Notamacropus eugenii: one gene and its partner. The protein of the gene in region 1 interacts with the protein of each later gene in a pairwise test. Links are inferred from orthologs where the notes say so. Each region holds a gene or a part of one and is shown in the gene's direction. Other genes may lie near its edges.

The links. The genes of interacting proteins can lie anywhere in the genome.
Region 2: the proteins of MYOZ1 (region 1) and FLNC interact in a two-hybrid assay, tested with the Homo sapiens proteins (2 studies listed by BioGRID and IntAct). The link is inferred for Notamacropus eugenii from reciprocal best matches to the Homo sapiens genes MYOZ1 and FLNC.

The regions. Positions count from the first base shown.
Region 1 is NC_092872.1:236,700,565-236,708,424, forward strand, and holds the start of MYOZ1 (myozenin-1), read left to right. Parts: upstream 1-4,446; 5' UTR 4,447-6,682; intron 6,683-7,187; exon of another isoform or gene 7,188-7,298; intron 7,299-7,752; exon of another isoform or gene 7,753-7,755; 5' UTR 7,756-7,777; coding exon 7,778-7,850; intron 7,851-7,860. Other genes in the region: SYNPO2L (synaptopodin 2-like protein), read left to right, coding at 290-2,460. UniProt on the Homo sapiens protein: Myozenins may serve as intracellular binding proteins involved in linking Z-disk proteins such as alpha-actinin, gamma-filamin, TCAP/telethonin, LDB3/ZASP and localizing calcineurin signaling to the sarcomere.
Region 2 is NC_092874.1:121,302,077-121,310,175, reverse strand, and holds the start of FLNC (filamin-C), read left to right. Parts: upstream 1-4,777; 5' UTR 4,778-5,148; coding exon 5,149-5,488; intron 5,489-8,099.

The DNA.
Region 1 (7,860 bases):
TTGCCCTTGGTTTCACCTTCGGCCCCTAGCAGGACCCTACCTTAGCCCTTCTACACATGGATTGTGTGTGGCCTTTGGATATGGGACATAGGAAGAATATGAAAATGGGTTTTTCTTTAGGCAGGAGACACCAGATGGGCAACGTGGCTTGTAAGGCTGGAGGGCAGAGAGGAAAGAAAAGAGGAGGCTGACTGAGGCAGGAAAAACCCACGGGGCTCAGCAGTCTGCAGTGGGGAACAGGACTTCTTGGAGGGTCCACTGACCATTCTCATACCTTCGTTTCCTTCAGAACTCCAGCGCACAGAGAGTGTTCAAGAGAAGAACATAAAAGAGGCCAAGACCAAATGCCGGACAATCGCATCCCTGCTGACAGCTGCACCCAATCCTCACTCCAAGGGAGTGCTTATGTTTAAGAAGAGGAGGCAACGGGCCAAGAAGTACACCCTGGTCAGCTTTGGGGCTGCAGCAGGAGAGGGATCAGGGGCAGGAGGGGAGGAGGAGGAAGACGGCATCCCCCCGACCAGTGAGTCTGAGCTGGAGGAGGAGACCTTCTCAGATGCCCGAAGCCTCACTAACCAGCCAGACTGGGATAGCCCCTATCTGGACATGGAACTGGCCCGCTCAGGTTCAGGCACAGCAGAAGGGCCAGGACCAGGGCCAGGGGGTGGCCTCAGTGAAGCTTCAGGGAGAGGGGCACGGCTTTTTGAGCAGCAACGGCAGCGGGCAGCCTCTAGCTCCCTGGAACAACCTAATGACACCCCCCCAGCCCTGATGAATGGGAGGGGCCCTCCACCCCCACGGCCCCAGAGCACCCCCCCAGAGGTAGCCTTGTTACCCCCCAGTCCAATGCCACCCCCTGCTACCAGTCCCATTTCTTTAGCCCCTTTCCCAGCCACAGGCATTTTCAACCGTTCAGCAAGACCATTCACTCCAGGATTCCAAGGGCAGCGCCCAGTAACCACTTCCGTTGTTTTCCGTCCCCTTGCCCCAAAGAAGGCAAATGAAAGTCTCAGGAGTCCCAGTCCTGTTCTTCCCCCATTCTTGTCACCACCCCAAGGTCCCAGCCTTACCCCCAGCTTCTCCACCCCAAAGGATCCTGGTAACATACCACTCTCCATCTCCACCAATGCCTCATGTTCCTCAGGCCCAGTGACAGCTACCACCTCCTTATATATTCCTGCCCCAAATAGGTCCATTACACCTGGAGGTCCCCCTGACTCTCAGGCCTCTCACCCCACGGCTGCTATGACCTCCACTGCTTCCATCTTCCTGTCTTCTCCCCTGAGGCCAACTGGACTCCCCATGACATCCAATTCAAGTAATGCTGCCCCTGAGGCTCCCAGTACCCGGGAGCAGAGAATATCTGTGCCTGCTCCCCGCACAGGCATCCTGCAGGAGGCACGGCGCCGAGGAGGGCGTAAACAAATGTTCCGTGGGGGGAATGAAGAGAAAAAAAATTCACCCAACCCTGAGCTGCTGTCATTGGTACAGAACTTGGATGAGAAACCTAGGCCAGGAGGGACTGAGTCTGGTCCTGAAGAGGATGCCCTGAGTCTAGGGGCTGAAGCCTGCAACTTCATGCAGCCTACAGGTGGCCGAAGTTTCAAGACCCCACCCCCTGTGACACCTAAGACCCCACCTCCTGCGGCACCTAAGACCCCACCCCCTGTGGCACCCAAGCCTGCACCCCGGGGTCTTCCTGATGGTCTAGTGAATGGGACTGTTCCCTCCACAAGGGTCCTCCCTGAACCACCTAGACTACAGGGTCGAGGTGGAGAGCTATTTGCAAAGAGGCAGAGCCGGGTAGATAGGTATGTAGTGGAAACCACACCTGGTCCTGGTCCTGGTCGTAGTACAATCTTTAGCTCCCAACCCCGAAGCCCCTCTCCTACCCCTTCATTGCCTCCTTCATGGAAATACTCCCCCAATATCCGCGCCCCACCTCCCATTGCCTACAATCCACTGCTTTCTCCATTTTTCCCACTGGCTGCCAGAACCCTTCCCAGCCGAACGCAGCCTCAGGGACCCCGAACAACCACAAAGCCAGGCATCAAAGCCATCGACTTCATGAGGCACCAGCCATACCAACTCAAAGCTGCCATGTTCTGCTTTGATGAGATTCCTCCAACCCCTAGCCCTATTCCCCCAGGGTCTTCTAAGACCGCTCGAGTTCATGAGATACGTCGATTCTCTACCCCAGCTCCCCAACCCACTTCTGAGCCCTTGGCCCCAACTGTGCTCACTCCTAGAGCCGCCACTTCACTGGATGAGCCCATCTGGAGAGTAGAAATACCCCCAGCTCCAATTCATGCCCCTAGCCCAGCTCCAACTCTAGAGTCTCCTCGAGCTCTCGGGGCCTCCCCTGGTTCCTGCAACTTCCAGGTGGCCAGACCCCGGTTCTCAGCTGCCAGCTCTGGATTGCAGGCACACGTATGGAGACCTGGAGCAGGCCATCAGTGAATTGGGAACAGCCAAGGGAGCCAGAAAATGGAGTACCTAGCAAGGTCTCAGAGTTATTTCTGCCACCCCAAACCCTCTTTTCTAGATACCTGGAGAAAGTTCCCCTGCCAGGGCAGGCTTAGTCCTTCCTTTCCTGGTACTTTTTGTCTGTCCAGCTTTCTCTGCTCTATCTCTTGACTCTTTTTTGGTCTGTTTCTCAACTTGTGTGTCTTTGTTCCTCTCACTGCCTTTTTCTCCCTATTCATTCTGTTATTGTGCCCCTCTATTTTTGTTTCTCTCCTTTGATGCTTTGCTTTTCTCTGTTGGCCTGCATGTAGTAAGTTGACTGAACCCAAATGCAAAGAGAAGGCACTGCTCTTGTAGCCTTAGGCCTGGGTAACTGATGAGAGAAGGAACCTGCTGCCTGGCAGGTGTTCTAGGCCTCTCCTTTCTCCTCTTCTCCAAACCTGGCTCACACCTAGACACGTGTGCTTTGTGTTTACCAAAGGTAAGGAGGAATAGGGAGGTGAGTTCCAACCTGGGCTCTACCCACAGCTCTGCTAAGGTCATGTATAGAAAAAAAGCCTTTCTGTTAAAGAAAAGCTGAGAGATCATTCACTTATCTCTCAGGTGATCTGTATAGTACCCCACAAAACTGAGAGACACATTTTTTGGAAATGGGGGTATCTTAATGGAATTCCTGTTGAGATGATTTCTAATCCCTAAAACTTTTTCTAGTCTTCCTTAGATCTCAGTCAACCACTCTTGCTACTGGGGGGTAGGGTGGGTAAAGAGTTGGGTATGGGAGTAGAGAAACTGATGAACCAGGGCAACTTTGAGGATGATGAAAGGACAGACTTAAGTTTGTTTGGAATGAAGACAGATTCCTTAGGATGGGAGGAGGGTGGGAATCTCCAAAGGCCTATGCTAAGTTAACCTGAGTAGTGGGTTGTGAAGAATGGAAAACTTCCTTTAAGGAGGGATGAATCATTGGCTTCTCAGTCTCATGGATCTAAGTCATTAAGGGGCTACTGTCTTAGAACATGGCACTTGGAACAGAAAATGGGGGCAAAAGAGAAGCTGGAGTGACTAGGCCAGAGTGAGGCAAAGTGTGGGGGTGTGAGAATGGGTGTTGTCAGAATGAAAGTGGGTAAAGACAGACTGTGCAGGAGAGGGGTTGTATGACTGAACTTTAGGGACAGGAGTTGTTAGAGCAGAGTCAGGGAGGGATGACAGTAGAGTGTATATCAGTGAAGTACAATAATCATAATAGCTAACATTTGTATATCACTTACAATGTGTCAGGTGTGTCAGGCACTATGCTAAATGCTTTACAAATATCTCATTTGAGCCTCACAAGGACCCTGGAAGGGAGGTGCTATTATTATACCCATTTTAAAGATGAGAAAAATGAGGTGAATAGAAGTTAAGTGACTTGTCCCAGGTCATACAGCTAGTAAGTGTCTGAGCTGAATTGGAACTCGAGTCATCCTGACTCCAGGTGTAGCATTCTATCCATTGTATCACCTAGCTGCCTCCAATAAGTGGGGAGAAGGCCCTCAGAGCCCGTGCTGCTTCCTTTGTGTCTGTCCTTCAGTCTGTATCCCTCCTTCTGGCACTATGAGCACCCAGGTGGGGGCAGGAAAATATCTAGAACCACAGTCTCCTAGCCCTTCCTATTCCCATAGAATTTAGGTCCCCATTTCCCTGCTTTGGGCTTTAGACCCTGATTGCTGAGCCAGGAGTGGGGGTGAGGGGTTAAGAGCAAGGGGAGCAGAATATGGGATGCACTCCTCCCCCAATCACTTCTGCTGCTTGGTTTTTAAGTTGTTTCCCTTATGTCTCAGGTGTGAGTCACTCTACTTTGATTTGTGCACAGTAATAAACCTGTATCCTACATCTTATTAGTTACCTCGCCTCTCAATCATGCCTTTGTCCTCAGTTTCTACACAACATCCTCTTCTCTGCTTGTTCTGCGGCTCCCCTTGGCTCCTGTTCATTCTCTGCTTTCCCCATCCATCCACCTCCTCTTCCCTATTCTCCCCCATGTCCCTCTTCTTATTCATTCTGCTTGGACCTTTTTTTGCTTTTCTCCATCATCTCCCAGTAACACACGTATACATATATACATACATGCAAACATATTTATCTACATACACATACATTTTCTCCATTTCTCTCAAGTGCTCCACAGCAGAGAATCTGCTCTTTAGGTAGAACTGAGAGATCTTTGAGACGACAGGTCCTGTTTGTTGTCCCTATACTTGTTTGTCACTGAGAATCTTGGGATGGGGCCAGTGATAGTGAAGAAAGCCCAAGACTGGCCATAAAGAAAAAAATCACCACTTTTGTAGGGGAGGGGGGACAGACGGTTTTTAGGAAGGGAGAGTGTCACATTTCCTATCCTGTCAGTAGAGGGCATGCTTGTGCCACCAATCGGCCCAAGACTCCATGAAAGCCCCACAGGAATCGTAAAAATTCCCATAGAAACCTAAGGTTTAGGCAGGAGAGCATATGGGTGCTCCCATCTCACCAGGTGGTTCTAATCAATCACAGAAACCAGTATTTACTGATTTTTTTAAAACTTATTTTGAATCAGAGTAAGTGGGCAGGAATGAGGACAGAAGGTAAATAACAAGTAGTAGGGACCCAGGCCAATTTGGGTAGCACCCCAAAAATGCAGACCTCAGGGTGGTGGGAGGTGTTCTGGGATTTAGGGAACCATTCCCTAAAGTAGCTAAAGCTCAGTGAGGAAAGGGTCAGGGACACGAACAAAAGGAGTGTTGAGAGATAGATCCCAGATCCACATGTAATAAGTGCTGGGGCAGGTATAGGTGAAGTTCAGGGTTTGAGGAGGATACAAATAGAATTCTCTTAAAGGGGTTCTTAAAATCAGATCATTAGCTGGATCAGGGTGATAGTAACAATAACAATATGGACATCTGTCTTAAGATTGAAAAGTCTTGGCAGGCAGGGCTTCTGGGCAGTGTGGCTCCCAGGGTTGGTGAATCACTTGAACTCAGGAATTCTGAATGGTAGTGGGGCTAAAGTGCCCAAGCTAAACTGGACCCAGGATGGTGAGCTCCCCTGAGCCACTAGGGCTGAACCCACCCAGGTCAGAACTTGAAATCAAAGTTTCCAGCCTGGTCTGCAGTGGGGTCAGCTCACCACAGGCTGTGGCACTTCTACCCTGGGTGAGATAAAGAGTCCCAGGCAAAAAAAAAAAAAAGAAGAATGGAAGTTCGGTGAAAGAACCTGAAAGCTGGGGAGACCCAAAGAAAGCTGGCAGGGCTGGAGAACCTGAAGGTATTTCATGGACTTTGTCATCCAAAACTTTTGAGCTCGAGACTCAGGACTCACAAAAACAAACATTGGCTTACAAGAGCTGGAGGCCAAGAATCCACCTGCCCTCTCTTGAAAAAGCTACTGGAAACTCTGGAGCAGAGGTTAGACAGGAGAAAGAAAGAAGGTACAGGTTGTAAAAGAAGAGGGTGGAAGGAGCTGGACCCCACAAGCCCTGGTGGCCTGTCTGAGGTTCATTCAGGGGACCCCTGGGACAGAAGAATCTACTTAAAGGTGAGGCCTGTTCCTCCCTTGCCAACCAGAAGTACTTTCTGGGTGTTCAGAACATCAGATTTCAGTCACAATGAAATCCCCTTTCTTTTTCTCACTGACCTTTCCAGGTTCCCTCTGCACACCTCACCCCTCTCCTCCACTTCCCCTCAGCTCCCCGATGGAGCCACTGATGTCTTCCCTATCTTCTTCTCCATAATAAGACTTAAATATCTCTTCTCTCCCTTCCCCTTCACTTCACCCCTAGGGGCTTCTTTGTCCTGGATGCTTTTTAGGTCTTTGTCTGCGATAATAGGGGAGAGGGAGATGCACAAATGGGGCTCAGATCCATCATGAATATAGCTCAGGCAGCTCAGTTGCTTGAGTCCGAGTGTCCTCTCTGCTCCTGGAGGGCGGGGTCTTAGGCCAGGGTCTCAGTATTCCCCAATGCCATCTGAGCTGCTCTCACTCATCATCTCTATTAATAACCCCCCCCCCCCCTCCACCACTCCCACACCGGCCCAGCTCAGGTTCTCAGGTCAGAGCTGCTCAGCTCTCCACAGCAACTGGACCCCTGGGGGAGACTCTAAGCATACCGGCTCCAACCACAAACTCCCAACCTGTTCAGCCTGAAGGTCTGAAGCTCCCATTCGAACTGGTCCTGTGTCTGTGTCTGCAGCTGTGACCCTTGGTGAGTGCCCCCTCACCCTCTTGGCTCAGCTGTCCTGTGGTGGAGGAGGGCATGGGTGGAGAATGTATAAAGTAAGGATCATCAAGAAGATTGGAAGACTAGCCAGGGAGTTTAGGGAGCAGGGAATGAAGGATGCAGGCTGGACAGCTTTGGGGAGGGGGTTGGCTAGGCCAAAGAGATGGGGGAAGGGCACTGGAAAAAAGGGAAAGGGGCTCAGGAAGTCTGGAACTAAGTGGAAATGAGGAACTAGGAGAGGGGGTTCAAGGAGGTGAGGATGAGTTCATCAAAAGGCTTTAACTTTAACCTGACTAGGTGGCTAGCCCTTGCAATTATATAAAAGCTGTAGCTGGGGTGGAGTTGGGGGTGGGGGGAATGGACTGAGCAGAAGCAGAAAGATTGTGCTGAATTGCCATTTCTGTCTGGGAGGGACTGGGGCCTGTGCCCAGAGTAGAGCTGGAGGCAGATGTTCCTTCCAACTCATCTCCCACTCTACTCCCAGATCCAATTACAGTGACTTCTACACAGAGCCAAGCTCCTCATTTAGTTTTCTGCTCCTTTGAGATTACTGAACTACTGAGAGTTAGGGATCCCTTGAGGGGAGACCCCTAGTGTGAGGGTAAGGGGAGCTGGAGTGTTGGGAGAAGGGAGTTATATTGTCTCTTAAGGCCAAAGGACAACCAGCAGAGAGAATTGACAATTCCTTCTCTCCATAGGAAATATTTTTGGCAGGCAGAAACCTCTTTGCCTTGGCAGAATGGGCCTCAGATTCCAGCCCTCTCAGGCACTTTCTTGACCCTTTAGAGTGACCTATCATTAGCTCTAGTCCTAACTCAGAATTTGGAATCACACCAAGGCAATGGAGTCTGTCTAATGTCATGACTTTTTCATATTTTCCTATGCCAGCTGGGGTTACCCCTGGAACTCTGGGTCGGGTGGGTGGGAAGTGGGGGAAGAAACAAGGTATAGAGTACCTACATAATGAGAAAAGAAAAAGAAAGAAGCTTTTTTAAATGAGGATAGAGATGGTTATAAGGGCTTACTCTTATCTGTCCATTCTCTAAACTTACCAGCAGGTTGACCTGAAAACCTTCCGTAATGCCACTCTCAGGAACTCCAGCCCCAAACAAGAGGCGGAAACCCAGCAAACTCATCATGGAGCTCACTGGAGGTAGGCCAGA
Region 2 (8,099 bases), on another chromosome or scaffold:
AGATGCATTATTTCCTCAGGCCCAATGTCCAGACTCCATTTCTCCTCAAACTTCTTCTTTTCTAGCTGTTTGGGAACAAATACACCAGAAATTCAGTCATGCTCATTCAGCAGGTATTTGTTGATCAATTGCTGTGTGCAAGAAAAGCCTGGAGTATCAATTTTGTCTATTTTGTTTTTCCCTTGCGGAGGGAGAGAAAATAAAGGGAGTTAGCAAGAACATCTGGAGATAGGAGGTTTTTCTAGTGTTAATGCAGCGTAGATAGTACCAAGACTAGATGAGGGCCACCTCAGCGTCCTGAGATCCTTTTCAATGTGGAAGCTTCCACTCTCCATGGTTATAGCTGCACACATTAGGGCGGGCACTCCTCTTTCTCCCGATCTGCCTTCCCCTTGAGACAGAGCTGTACTGGGTCTAACATAATCAGCTGGATTCTACTTGCTCTGGAACTGACCACTACTTACCCGATGCCATCCCCTTCTCTTCTGTCCCAGGGCAGAGGGGCACCTCCCTGTAATCTGACCTACCTCTAGCCACTATTTGGCTGGAGAACACTATGCATAATAAAAATCCCAGGAAGCTACATGTAGCCTGGGTACTACTTGAACCTGTAGCAAAGCTGATCTAAATGCTGAGCTGGAATCCAAGGTTAAGGCTGGCCACAGGTAAAGGGTCTGACTAGTGATCACCCTGTTTGGGCGCTGATGGGCTTTCATCTCACCCTTCAATGGACCACCCTTTTCTTGAACTAGAAGGGAGATAGCATTTCATTGCATGTTTCCTCAGACAACACCTTTCTTCAGAATCCAGGGTTCTTTTCTTTGGGAACATCTTTCCAAACCATGTAAAAGGCTCTGCCATATCTCCTCACTTGAGGATTGGATAGCTATCTGAAACCTTAGCATGGCTAACCCAGTGCTAAGTCCTGAGCCTTTTTCATTCTTTGTGATTGATGTGCTTATAAGTTACTCAGTTTGCTCTGGCACACCTCTAGGGAAAGGGGAATGAAGAGAGAAGGGCATCCTGCAATGTTGGTGGTTCAGTTGCTGTGGAGGGAGTGAGGAGCACAATGAAGGTAGAACTGAGGGAGCCACAAATTATTCACGTCTAAGGAAAAAGCCTTTGGGTTATGATTTAGGTAAGTGGAGTTTGGACCATAGATTGACAGGGGGGAGCAGGAAAGCCAGGAGGCATTCTGCAAGCGGATGAGCTCTATCAAGCCCCTTAGGGGAAAAATAGGAGCTGGAGCTGAGGTATGAGGAAAGCACAACTTGCCACAATATACCTAGTTGGATCTCAAAGACGTTGGAGTGAAGAGGAATAGGGCCAGAGCCCTAAACCGGCCTCAGAATGATCTCTGCCAGTCACATGCCTGATTTGTCTGAAATTACTATGGGGTATAGAGGGAGATATCCCTCAATTCTTAAAAAACAGGGTCCTTGGTACATGGGGACCCCAGTTCAGCTCAAATGGAAAAGAAGTATGATTTATGTAGGTGACTGGCAGGCTGCCCTGTAGGAGAAGTGGAGTCAGGAGCTAGATTGGGCAGCTTGGGTCTACAGGGACAGGTCAGCAGGTGGTGAGTCAGGGGGTTATAAGCAGCTTGTAGCCCCAAATACTTGGCTGATGAAACCCCCTGCAAACCTCTGAGGGGCCCCCACATGGCTCAGGGGAAAAGGACAGACTAATTCCTTTGCCAAGAGATGGATGGTGGGGAGAGAGAGGGAGAAGTGAAGGAATGGGGGGGGGGGACAATTTGGCAAGACCAAGATAAGCATTGTGCACGGTCTGTTCCAGCCCCATGTTGCTACCCGTCTCAGGGCAGCGGCTCATGGACTATATTGAGGGCTGAGTCACCATCCCTGCTGGGTCAAGCTGACTAGCGGGGCCCTGAGTCAGGACCCAATTTATCCTGGAGAGCAGCAGGCTCAGGTTGCACTGGGAGAAGGGGGAGGGCAATGGAGGGGTGACGGGAAACATCTCCTGGCTCTGTTCCCTCCTCTACCCCATTCACTCCCCTGTACACTAAGCCGTTTGGGGTTGAGGTAGTAAAGGGAAGGTCATCTCTTTGTGGGCCTATCCCCTTCCCTGGCACTGTTCTCGGATTCAAAGGGTCTCCCTTAGTTACCCATGATTGATTGGTATTTTCCCCAAGGGAGCCAGGAACCACTACTACCGTCCCACTAGTGCTAGTGGGTCACCATAGGGATGGTTAAATATTTTGAGTCCTAATGACATGAAATCCCTCAGTGTAAGCCTCAAACAACCCTACATCAACTTCAAAGATCATACACTTATAGCGGTCAGGGCCCTGAGAAGCCTCTCATTTTATAGATGAAAAAACTGAGACCCATATTGGTTAAGTGACTTGGTCACATACGCAGTAAGTATCAGAGGCAGGATTTGAACCCAGGTCCTCGGACTCAGGACAGTGCTCAGTGTGCCAGTGTACCAAGCTATCCTAGCAGCTAAAGTTTAGGAATCCAGAACCAGGGACTGTTCTTTCCCAGTTCCCCAACCTTCAAATTTCAGTTTTATGGCATGGGGCCCCATGGGTGTGATGGAATCAAATATCGTGTTCTCCATCTTTTTTTTTTTAAGGTTTTAAGAATACTCCTCCAGCTTCTTTCCCTCCTAACTCATTTTTGTCCAAGGGAGACAAATCTATACACACCCAGGATCTGGGGAGCTCTTTATGGGGCATCTTGGTTCCTGAAGCTCAAGTGATGGACAGTAGTGATTGCCATGAAATGGCTTTGTGGGTGGGATGTGAATAGCTTGGTGAAGAGGGAGACTGAGTGAGTGGGGAGTAGGGGAGGGAGGTGAGCTGCAACCAGGACAGTGGAATTCCTTAGTATCACGTCATAGCCAGCAGACAGAACATGAGCCCTGGAGCAGAGGGCTATTTATATTCCAACTTGTCACTATCAGGGCCCCCAGAGCTGCCCTCCCCCCACCCCACTTTACAACAGCCACTAGCCAGGGCTACCCCAATGTCTCTGTCCCTGATGATTTGTACTCCTTTTCCTACTTAAATTCTGAGAACAGTCTCTTGGGGGAGGGAAGCATATAACACGGCTATAACACCCCCCCCCAAAAAAATAACAGTACTTTCCCATCAATGTCCCTAATGAGAGCTGTGACCTTGGAGAAAGAGCCAGCTAAGTGCCCCATAGCCCCCCTCCTCACAGAACTTGGTGAGTCACTCACTACAATGGCCCCTAAAACATTCCAAAAGTCTCCTCAGCTCTACCATTTTGGAAGATGGCAACACTGACTGAGTCAGGGAGTTATCTGGTTTGAGGTCTTCCCATTTGCCTATCATGGAGAGGTTGGGGTGCAGCTAATTCCCTCCAGATCCCCTATTCTAACTATTCTAGAACTGTTAAGAAAGGAGGGGTAGCAAGGATGAATCCAAACCTAGATTGAGTCATGCCTGTTTCTCTCTGGGGCTCAAGGAAGACCATTACCTATTCTATTCCTCAGTTTCCCTAAATTTGTCAACCATTTGGGCCAACATCCATTCCTGGAAGAGCCATGGATTTCCCTAGTATTAGTCTCCCCCCATCCATCCTCCCCCCATCTCCCCTGAGAAGGGTCAGTCTGATTGCTTTCCTCTCTCCAGGGCTTCCCTCTACTTCCATCCTATCTCTACCAGCCTTCGCACAACCTCAGCTCACATTCCCCCTTGGCCTATGCCAACAGGGATCTCCCTGACTGGCTGGCCAGACAGTCCTCCTTTCTGGCCAAGGATGGGCACAATGAATGGGGGTGGGGGGGTTCCCTGCCACTGAGGGGAAGGTCTGTCCTGACTCTTGTCCCTGGAGATACCATCTGAGTCAAGGTCTGGGGTCTGGGGGGATGGGGAGCGGAGAGAGGTGACTCATGGCCCAGCATCAGAACTTTTTCCTCACCCATTTCTGAGGCTGATCCTAAGTGGGTTGATGACACTAAATGGGAAGGGGGGTGGTGGTGGAGTGCAGGGTAAGTACCCTAGCCCCAATCACCAAGGGGAAAACTCATTCTAGCCCAAAAGGAAGCCTCTGTACTTCAATCCCAGAATAATAGAGGAAGGCAGTTCTTAGGAAAACCTTCTCTTCACGGCCAGATAATGCCATTGCCTCTATTTCCATGTTATTATCCTGTTTCTTCCTCCCCTACCCAAATATTATACTCCTACCCCACAGGACTCTGACATAGATGATTCATAGTTGGACTTATACTTGTCCAGAGACCTCCAGCAATATTAGACTTCTGTTCCCAATTCCAACCCCCTCCATTAGACCTTAGTTTCCCCAATCTGTCTCTTAAGTCTTAGTCATGTCTGTTTCTCCTTCCCCCTCCCCCCCATCTAAGACTTCATCCCCACCTGTGACTCAGCTTAGATATGGGGGGGGGAGAAAGGGAGGGGAGCAGAAGGGGGGAGGAGAAGGCCCTATGGTACTCTCCATCTTCCTTATTCTCCCCCATCTCTGACCTTGGCGCAGGGGATTTGGGGAGCAGCGTCCTACTGACAAACCTTTGTTCCTCCGACTGGGAATGGGGGAATCAGATTGGTATGAGAGTAGGAGGAGGGACCTGGGGAAGACCCTCTCTGGTTCCCTGTCCCTCCAGATCCTCCAGGCTACTGAGGGGGTAGGCGGGGCCTTCTCCGGCCCCCCTCCCCGCCCCTGCCCTCACCCCCCGCCGGCCGGCATTCCTGGGAGGCCGGCGCTCTGACGTGAGCCTGGGGAGGGGGGCCCCCCCGCGACCCAGGGTCTTCTTAAACCCCCCGCCCTCGGTCCGGCCCTGCATTTCCAGAGCACCGCTCCGCCCCCCCAGACGGAGAGAGAGACCAGGCTCAGCAGACGAGGAAGAGGAGGAGAAGGAAGGGAGAGTCGGAGCCCAAGCCCGAGGCTGAGCACGGAGACGGACCCCCGAGCTCCAGACAGAGGCAGAAGTTAGCGAAGTGCGGGAAAGAGTCCGCAGCTCCCAGGACAGCTCCCCGGAGCCAGCCGCGGACTCTGCGCCTAGCCCAGCCCCGGGCTCCGGACCCCGTCCTCCCGACTCAGGCTCGCTGGTCTCAGCCCCTGCCCCGCCGAGCCGCCTTCGGCCCCGTCCTCCGGACTCAGGCTCGCTGGCCTTCGCCCGACCCCCGAGGCGATCGCGATGAACAACAGTAACTACCCCGAAGGCCTGGGCGAGGACGCGGAGGAGATGCCGTCCGCGGAGAAGGACCTGGCCGAGGACGCGCCGTGGAAGAAGATCCAGCAGAACACCTTCACCCGCTGGTGCAACGAGCACCTCAAGTGCGTGGGCAAGCGCCTGGGGGACCTGCAGCGGGACCTGAGCGACGGCCTGCGCCTCATCGCCCTGCTCGAGGTGCTCAGCCAGAAGCGCATGTACCGCAAGTTCCACCCGCGGCCCAACTTTCGCCAGATGAAACTCGAAAACGTGTCCGTGGCTCTCGAGTTTTTGGAGCGCGAGCACATCAAGCTCGTGTCTATCGGTCAGTGCCCGGGGAGGGGCTGGTCGGGACGGGACGGGACGGGAAGGGATGGGGAAAGAAGGGTCCTGGGCAGCCTGTGCCCAGGGGCAGAGCTTTTCCCCCAGCCAGACTTCGGGGCGGTGTCCACGCGCGGAAAGGGAGAGAGGGGGGACCTTGGGGCTTTCCATTGGCGGGTGGAAAGAGCTTGGGGGAGGAGCCTTCCGTGGTGGGCTTGAACCCGCTGGCCATTGGGAGAGGCCGTGGGGTTTGGGGTAGGGCGAAGTAGTCGGGGAGCCCTAGTAGGGAGCGGGGAGGAAGGAGGGTTCAGCTACTAGAGCAGAGAAAATCACTGGCTCTCCCCTACCCACACCAACCCAAAGGCGCAGCACTTTTTCCTTCAGACACACAGACACAGACACACAGACACAGACACACAGACACACACACAGACACAGACACACACAGACACACAGACACACAGACACACACACACACACACACACACACACACACACACACACACACACACACACACACACACACACACACCCTCTTAACTAGACGAGGAAGGGATACATCAACATGTGCCTCACCCCTTCCTCTGCCTTTCCCCCTCCCATTCCCGACACACCCCAACTTGGCTCCTGCACCTGCATCACCTTTTCTCTCTGTCTTCCCATGCCAGACCCTTGCTAACAGGTCCAACAGTTATGGGATCTTTTCAGTTTCCCCTTCTGGAAATTGTCACCTCAAAAGCACCTGTCCCTCTCTTCAGTTTTTTTGGGGGTCACTAAAACAGTAACTTTAAGTGTAGGGTTGAGAGGAGACCAGGAGGCAGGATATTAGCCATTCCCCACGCTGGCAGTGACGGGGATGGTGAGGTAGCTCCCAAGAGTTCCTTTTAAGTGAGGTGAGGTGTTGGGGGCTGGGGTAGCCTGGTGGTACTGAAGGAAGCAATGACATCTTCTCCCTCCTCTTGTCTCCCCATGCTAGGCATGTGCCTGGCAGCTGGGCCCAGCCCCTGGGGGCCTTTCCAGGGAGGGGGGAAGGGGGTAGGACCCAGCCTTTGAAACCTAAAAAGGCACTGAGGGAGCATAGGAAACATTAACCCCTGCTTGTCCTTACCCTTCCTCTACCTACCTAAGAAGGGTCTTCGTAGCAAATCCATTCTTCTTTCCTACCTCCCAAGCAAAGGGCAGGGAACAAGGGGGGAGTCCTCATATACAGAGAAGGGGGAGTATAAATGTTGAGTGTAACCAAAGCCTGAAGTTGTGTGTGAGGAGGGTTGAGGCAAAAGGAGCACAGCTGGAAGGGGGGGGGGGGGGGGAAGAGAACCAGTAACATCTGCCCGGAACTTGGAGGAACTCAGAAAGTAGAATTCCCTTCTCCTGGTTTCTATCAGGACAGGGCTGTGTGGGGGAAGGGAAAGGGGAGGGAGAGAGGAAGGAAAGGGCAGTGGCAGAACTAGGGAGCTGTGGATGTGATTTGAACAAGAGTACAGTTATGGAGGACTCTCATACCACAGGATCAGCTATTTAGAAAGGACACATGTTTCTATCAGCTAAAAATAAGGAGTCCCACCATAAGGGTGCCATCCAGAGTTCATGAAGCCTGAAGTGTTTATTATGTATATGGAGGCTAATAGTGTAGGATGGGGTCTCCACACCAGAGATAGGGGCAGCTGGGGGCCTGAAAGGGTGAATCCTTCTTAGTGGGAGGTAAGGAGAGACAGTCCCACTTAATCCTTCTGTCTATTGGGCCCCACATCCTCCCTTGAGCCACTACTAACACTGGGGCTGCCAGAATTAGCAGCTGAGATCAGCATGGGGCCCCTCGTCCTGTCCAGTCCCCTCCCTCGACTTCATGAGCTCCTTCCCCAATGACCGACGTCCCCCTACCCCACCCCCACCGCCTGCCCCAGACTGGAAATAGCCTGGCCTGGTTGTGACACAGCAAATGTCTCTGAGCTTTCCAGAAGGACAGGCCATGTTGGAGCAGGGGTGAGGGTGGGGGTGGAGGAGGAAGAGGGATGCCACTGAGGCAGGGAGTACAGGGAACAGACAGCTTCTGGGGGCTGGGGGATGCAGAGACCAGCCAAGTCTAGAACAAAGAGGGTTATGGAGGATGGAAGGGACCGTCTCAAACATATCGGATCCGGTGTAACCTAAGGAGTGGGATTAATTAAAGAAAGAACAGTGTGAAACCTCAGCGAGTAGTAGGTCGAAAGCAAATGATGGGGTTACGAGTATGTTCGCTGGCTAAGCAGAGCTTCTGAGTGGGAAGGGTCCTGTTCACCGCATCAGTCTGGAGATCCACATTATTCACAAAACTCCCAGCCTCATCCACCACCTCCAGCCCCTATCTGGGGGCCTCATCCTCCCTCATCCCATCTCTCTCCACATCTCCACAAAAAGTTTTCAGCTCAAACAACCTCACAGACTGAGCCTAACACTGGTAGAGAGGGCTCACAGAAGACTGGTATTAGAGGGAAAAGAAGTTGATTTGGGCAGTGGGGAGCAGAGAAGGATCAAGACAGAATTCTTGCTTCCTGTGGGGAAGGAGGAGAGCTGTTCACTGTCTGGGCCAAGTGGCTCTCACACATCTATGAGATAAGCTGTCAGCAATGCAGCTC